Linked DNA regions of Elephas maximus indicus. The main gene of each other region encodes a partner of the protein of the gene in region 2 in a complex. Links are inferred from orthologs where the notes say so. Each region holds a gene or a part of one and is shown on either strand. Other genes may lie near its edges.

What was found. The genes of interacting proteins can lie anywhere in the genome.
Region 1: the proteins of KCNAB2 (region 2) and KCNA3 are in contact, whole or in part, in a cryo-EM structure (PDB 7EJ2), measured with the Homo sapiens proteins. The link is inferred for Elephas maximus indicus from reciprocal best matches to the Homo sapiens genes KCNAB2 and KCNA3. Residues at the interface, in NP_001186789.1 of Homo sapiens: Met196, Tyr199, Ser200, Arg203, Glu231, His234, Lys235, Ile236; in NP_002223.3 of Homo sapiens: Pro133, Met137, Phe140, Pro142, Leu143, Asn145, Tyr147.

The regions. Positions count from the first base shown.
Region 1 is NC_064821.1:170,520,520-170,523,960, forward strand, and holds KCNA3 (potassium voltage-gated channel subfamily A member 3), read left to right. Parts: upstream 1-786; 5' UTR 787-909; coding exon 910-2,646; 3' UTR 2,647-2,871; downstream 2,872-3,441.
Region 2 is NC_064821.1:45,216,549-45,220,294, forward strand, and holds the start of KCNAB2 (voltage-gated potassium channel subunit beta-2), read left to right. Parts: upstream 1-1,175; 5' UTR 1,176-3,746.

The DNA of each region.
Region 1 (3,441 bases), about 130 Mb from region 2:
TCCTTGGTTCTTCCCAGTAGCTGAAATCTCAGCTACAAAGTTAATGTGAGCTATTCACACTAGAAGCGAGGTACCTGAACCCCTTTAAAGATCCATTTTCTTCAGACTCCGGGTGCGAAACCCATCAGCACCCATTACTCGGTTTGGCTTCTCATCCAAGCGGGAGATGAATTATTTAGAGACCTCCTCGCCTGGCAGCGTTCTACCCTCAAGTGAACTCAGGGTGCTGGCACCAAGCTTGCCTCTTCCCCCAGGGCGCCCACCTGGCCTGGTACTCCCTCTCTCCCTCCCTAGCCATCACTCGGGTCTGAGTGCGTATCCGCTGCGTCCTTCCTCCTCGGCCCCCTCCGCCGCGGCCACCTGGGCTCCGCCGGCCTCGCCTCCCCAGTGCCGGCCCAGGTGGAGCGTGGAGGACGAGGAGGCCGGGCATTCACTGGGTCGCGGGCAGAACTCGCCTGGCCCGCGGGCCGAGGGGTGGGCCCGGGATGGGCCGAGAAGCGCCCCGCGACGGGGACGCCGCCACGCGGACAGGGCCTGGGGCCACCGAGGTGCAAAACGCGGCGCTTCCGTAAGGCAGAGGGGCGGCGAGGGCCCGCGCGCAGGGCAGCTCCCGGCGGTACCCGGGGATCGGGGCGCGCGCCCGCGCGGTGGGCGGGAATCCGGAGGGGACGCGGAGGGGCGGGCGCGCGCCCGCGGGGAAGGGGCGGAGGGGAGCGAGGAGGAGGGCTGCGGAGGCGTCTCTCCCGAGGAGTCCGGCCAGCGCGCCAGACGCAGACTGAGCCTCGCGGCGGCCGCGGCGACAGCAGCGGCAGCAACAGGCGGCGGGCTGGGCTCGGGGGCGGAGGCGGCCGAGGGGCGGGGAGCGCGAGGAGGGGCGCCGCGGGCCCGCCGCCGCCGCTTCCCCGCCGCATGGACGAGCACCTCAGCCTCCTGCGCTCGCCGCCGCCGCCCTCCGCCCGCCACTGCGCCCACCCTCCCCAGCAGCCGGCGAGCGGCGGCGGCGCCCACACCCTGCGGAACCCCGGCCACGCCGAGCCCGCCGCCGGCGCCGAGCTGCCGCCGGACATGACCGTGGTGCCCGGGGACCACCTGCTGGAGCCGGAGGCGGCCGACGGCGGCGGGGGCCCGCCCCAGGGCGGCGGCGGTGGCGGTGGCGGCGGCGGGGGCTGCGACCGCTACGAGCCGCTGGCGCCCGCGCTGCCGGCCTCCGGCGAGCAGGACTGCTGCGGGGAGCGCGTGGTGATCAACATCTCCGGGCTGCGCTTCGAGACGCAGCTCAAGACCCTGTGCCAGTTCCCGGAGACGCTGCTGGGCGACCCCAAGCGGCGCATGCGGTACTTCGACCCGCTCCGCAACGAGTACTTCTTCGACCGCAACCGGCCCAGCTTCGACGCCATCCTCTACTACTACCAGTCCGGGGGCCGCATCCGCCGCCCGGTCAACGTGCCCATCGACATCTTCTCCGAGGAGATCCGCTTCTACCAGCTGGGCGAGGAGGCCATGGAGAAGTTCCGCGAGGACGAGGGCTTCCTGCGGGAGGAGGAGCGGCCCCTGCCCCGCCGCGACTTCCAGCGCCAGGTGTGGCTGCTCTTCGAGTACCCGGAGAGCTCCGGGCCGGCCCGGGGCATCGCCATCGTGTCCGTGCTCGTCATCCTCATCTCCATTGTCATCTTCTGCTTGGAGACGCTGCCCGAGTTCCGCGACGAGGACTACCTCGCCTCGCCGTCCCAGGACCTGTTCCAGGCGGCCAGCAACGGTACGTCGGGTGCCCCCGCGGGAGCCTCCAGCTTCTCGGATCCCTTCTTCGTGGTGGAGACCCTGTGCATCATCTGGTTCTCCTTTGAGCTGCTGGTGCGCTTCTTCGCTTGCCCCAGCAAAGCCACCTTCTCTCGAAATATCATGAACCTGATAGACATCGTGGCCATCATCCCTTATTTCATCACTCTGGGCACCGAGCTGGCTGAGCGACAGGGCAATGGACAGCAGGCCATGTCCCTGGCCATCCTGAGGGTCATCCGCCTGGTGAGGGTCTTCCGCATCTTCAAGCTCTCCCGCCACTCCAAGGGGCTGCAGATCCTGGGGCAGACGCTGAAGGCTTCCATGAGGGAGTTGGGACTGCTCATCTTCTTCCTCTTTATCGGGGTCATCCTTTTTTCCAGTGCGGTCTACTTTGCCGAGGCAGACGACCCCACTTCGGGTTTTAGCAGTATCCCAGACGCCTTCTGGTGGGCAGTGGTAACCATGACAACAGTAGGTTATGGTGACATGCACCCAGTGACCATAGGGGGCAAGATTGTGGGATCGCTGTGTGCCATCGCTGGTGTCTTGACCATTGCTTTGCCAGTTCCTGTCATTGTTTCCAACTTCAATTACTTCTACCACCGCGAGACAGAAGGGGAAGAGCAAGCTCAGTACATGCACGTGGGGAGTTGCCAGCACCTCTCCTCTTCAGCCGAGGAGCTGCGAAAAGCAAGGAGTAACTCAACTCTGAGTAAGTCGGAGTATATGGTGATCGAAGAGGGGGGTATGAACCATAGCGCCTTCCCCCAGACCCCTTTCAAGACCGGCAATTCCACTGCCACCTGCACCACGAACAATAACCCAAACTCCTGTGTCAGCATCAAGAAAATATTCACCGATGTTTAATAGATGATATAAGTGACATACTGTGCTCAGTACTGTGTGGAATGTGCCCCCCTTGGTCTGTGTATACCCTTGTTTTATACGTTTCCGGACCATTCATCAAGGCAAGAACACTGGGACATGGAAGGCGCACTTCATTCTCCCTCGCCCTAATGCTTCATACTGAGACAGGGTCTGTTTTGCGAGTGGCCTGCATTCTCTCAGCTCCCCTCTTTTTTTTTTTTTTTTCTTTCTCTCCCTGTCTCTTAAAATTGCAAACAACAAACTGTTACCTTAAACTTGATTTCTAGTACACGCCCTATTAAAAAAAAAAAAAAAGTACATCCTGGGGGGAAATGAAACTAAAGAGCAGTTAGATAACAGTTTGACCTCAAAATATAAAGGTGGTTTTTCTTTACTGAGTACAGCAGACAGGTGCTCAAATGATGCTTCAGTTGGGTGGACCCTCCGACATTATTGAATATTTAACTCACTGCCTACCCTGTGGATATGTGGATGGAAAGTCTAATTAGAACAATGACTTGTAAACCCACCATAAGTTTATTTGGTTTTTGACTGGAATTTCTATTTGAACCTTCCTCCTACTGGAATTTTAAGGGTCGCTGCAACTTTGAACAAAGGGAAATGCCCAAGATGTCCTGACCTGACTAATTAGTTTAACTCTTCCTGGCTTGTTAAGCATTTTGAAAGTATTAGGTTAAAAGTTAATCCCCACGAAGAAGTTCCTTGCTTGTGTCCCAGCCAAGACCTAACAAAGCCTAGAAACAGATGTTTTTCAGTACTGCTGAGAGAAACAAA
Region 2 (3,746 bases):
GAGATAAAAACACCCTAATAGAACTAATGGACTCCCGGTCTCGGAACTCAGCTCTTGTGGGACCCTGCTTATTCACCAATTGCTTCTGACGTTCTGCAGCGACACTCCCCGAATGCAAACACCACCGCGCGAGGGTTTTAGAGTGCCTGGTGAACCCTGATAACCTAGGCTGTGTCCCTTTTAATGAGCAGACGCCCAGGACAGCAGGTGAGTGGCCCCTTTTGCTCCAGGAGCAGACGTCCCAGACATCTGCTCAGAGGGGCTGCCCCTGGGTGCAGCTGTGTTGGGAGCTAAAATAGCAGAGGCTATGTTTTTGGGGGATGCTTTTAGCTGATCTGGTATTAAACCCGCTACATTTCTCAGAGCAGAAAGCCTCAACAAGCCGACTGTAGGTAATCATGAGGGAATGTGCGCGGGAGGAGACCGGGATGGTGGGTTCCGCTTGGCATGACCCGTAGTCAGTGCCCTGTGCTTGAGCTGCTTGCCTCCCAGCCCTGCCGGGTGCTTTCCTGCTTGTGTTCTTCCATGAGAGCCATGGGTGGCTAGCTTGTATATACCCTGTGGGGTTCACTGCTGACGAGAATTCAGCGTTTTCAAATATTCCTGAGAGCTGTCAGGGTTTGATTGCTGTCTGAAGTTGTCTGGAGGCACATGTCTGGGAGAGACAGGGGCTGCCTGTTTAGGCCTCGGTTTGCTGATTGTTCTTGAACGTAAGTAATTTTGTGTTTGCACTGCTGTGATGCCGTGAATCTCAGAGCCACGCGTGTTCCAGAATGATCAGCTCCCCTCTCCATTTCCGCTTTGATAAACCTTGACTAATTTCTCTAATAGCTAACAAATGTCATGGTTTGAAAAGAGGTATTCCAAATCCCTCCTTGGTCTCAACGTTTTATGCTTTGGTGGCCTTCAGTAAACAGACCACGATTAAGAAATGCCAGGTACGAGACTCAGGGGAAGGAGCTCTTCCCGCTGACTTAATGATGTTAACATCTTCCTTTCAGTTTTCCATGTCGTGCCATTAATTGATGGAAACTCCCCCGAGCCCCCCAGTCTACAAGAATAGATTTGCAAAAGGCAAAGCCAGGCAGAGGAGAGGACGCATAGTGGCCGTATCATCAGCAAAGGCTGCTGGGGCGGGGTCTGCTTTGTCTTGAGACGGGGAGGGGAAAGGGGAGTGGATGGAGAGCCCTGCTCTGGAAAAGATGAGGATTCTGCACCTTTGAGCTCCAGGGAGGTGAAAGTGCCCAAGTAGGCACCCCAGTGATGGGCGGCCCCCTTCTACCTGGCAGGATTTTACTCATGGGCCCTTCATTCATGATCCAGACTCCTTTGGAATCAGCTGCAGGGGAAACTGAGAACAAACCCTTAGAGGGTGAGCAGCTGCATCCAGGGAAGCTGGGTTCCACTTTCACCCAGGGGATGGTCCCAGCCGTGCTAGGGACCATCAAGAGTCCCCCTTCTGCCCTCTGCGCCCACCCGCCCTTCCTCCTCTGTCTAGATTCAGGCCTCCCCCAAGCACCTCATGAGGATGAGCGTGGCCTGGCCTTCCTGACCTACAGACCCGCCTTTGGGCACCAGGGCTCCGCCAGCTCCTTGCTCCTCACACGTCCTCCTGGACTAGGTGTGTGCCTGTGGCAGGAGACTGCCAGTTGCCTCACCCACGCCACAGGTGGCCTGGCCCACAGATGCGTTCCCCAGTCCACAAGTTGTGTTATAAGGGAAGATCAGAAGCAGGCAGACCACGGCCCCACAGAGAGGTGCCCCTCTAGCCCTGGCCAAGGAGGCCAGGAAGGTGGCCAAGGCCATGATCTTCCCGCTCTGTCCCCACCCAGATCCCCAAAACTTGCCCACGATCCACCTCGTTAGGACAGTGTTGTCTGCGAGGGGGGCAGTTACTAATACCTCCTTCTCATCCTATGAAGCGTTTTCTGGTGACGTTTGTTACCTGCACGGCTCACTGCTATCATCCGAGCCCACACTCCAGTGTCACCTCCACAGAGAGCCCTACCTGCCCTGTCTATACCTTTTTCTCTGCAACACTTACCATAGCTGGTGTCGTGTCCCCGTCTCACTGCCAGTGCCCTCCCATGAGGGTGTGTCCAGCCATGTCCCGAGCCCCCACCTAACTGCCCAGCAGCCCATCTCCTGCAGCCGCACAGCCACCTCATGCCGTAAGCCTATGCTCATCCCCACTTCACAGATGGGCAGACTGAGGCTAGGTCGGCCAGGGTGCCTGCTGGGGTCACATTGTGAGTAGGCAACAGGCTGTCCCTGCCCAGAACCTGGCGCTAGGCCACCACCCAGCCCTGGGGCCCTGATGTGTGTCCAGAGCCAACCAGACCTGTCTGCTTTCTATGAGAAACATCTTGAAAGCTAATGGCTATTGATCCAGCTGGCCGGGCCTGGATGGAAAATATGTGCTGAGCAAGTCCTGCTTTTCGGTAAGAGCCACAGCTGCAGCTGGCTGCGGTCTGTCTGTGAAAGGAGGTCTACCTCCATCTGCCCCACACTGGCTGACAGGTGGCCTACCGCCACCCTCAGAAGGGCCTGTGATTTGGGGGTGGGGAGGCCTAGCCGGCCAGAGGATGGGGAAGAGGAGCTGGTACTGCCACCTATGGGTGCTATGGCTTCACTTTCCAAAGCAAACGTGTACCCCTCTACTGCCTGGAAGGTCGGGTTTCATGCAGGAGCACCCTCGCCTACTTTTTTTTAGTGCCCTTCAAAGACCTCAGCCCAAACCCAGAGGGAGCCCAGAGGTCCTGGGGCCTGCAGAGCCCCATGGGGCTGGGCCATGGTAAGGGCAAATCCTGGGCTGGGAGTCCCCCCTCCCCAGGAGGGGATACGCTCAGAGACCACCAGGTGCGTCAGAGAGCCAGCCCAGAGCCCACGGTGCCATCCAGCCCTGCCAAGGAAGCGCCCATCACAGCCCCTGGTTGGCCTTTGTATGCCCACGCCTTCACTGATTATTGGACGCATAGCTAAGCCCCTGCTCTGTGCTCGCTCTCGGACAAGAGTCCCTGCTCTGAGGGCCTGACCTTCAGGGGAATCCATGTAACAAGTGAGTCAGAGATGTCTCCAGAATGTTAGATGACAAGAGGGGCCGTGGAAAGCTGCAGCAGGGAAGAGATGTGGCATGTCAGGGTGGGGTAGAGAGCCTGGGGGCAAATGTGTGATGGTCCCGGGTACCCAGTGTCCAAGGTGTCCAGGCAGATCGAGGTGTTGGCGCAGCCTACCCCAAAGAGACACTGACCTGTGGGGACAGGCGCTGTCCAGCGCTGAACCAGGGTGGGTAGTCCAGGGCCTTCATGGAACCCTGAAGGGGCTCCAGGGGCATGCCCTTGCTCATTGGTTTCCCTAGGATCCTTTCTGAGCCCCTCTTCCATACTGCTGTGAGCCAGGGGATTGGGCGGCAGACATAGGACAGCCCAAGCTCTCAAGCAGCATGACCCAGGGAGTAAGAGAGACCTACAGACAGATCCTTGCATGGAAATGTCTTTAGGCCATGAAGGGGATGATGAGGCTCCAGGGGCGTCCCTCCACATGGAAGTGCACACGTGGACAGAGCAGTCAGTGGTCAGCACCTGTTCTATAGAGCCCCAGGCTCACAGAGCTCATCGCTACCACCTGCCCCTGCCAAGCAGAGTGGGTCAGACCTGACCCCAGAGCACACAGAGGAAGCGGGGGTTGGGGGTGCACCTGGGGTGTCTCCAAGGTGACCTTGCTCTCCACCCTCACCCTCACCCTCA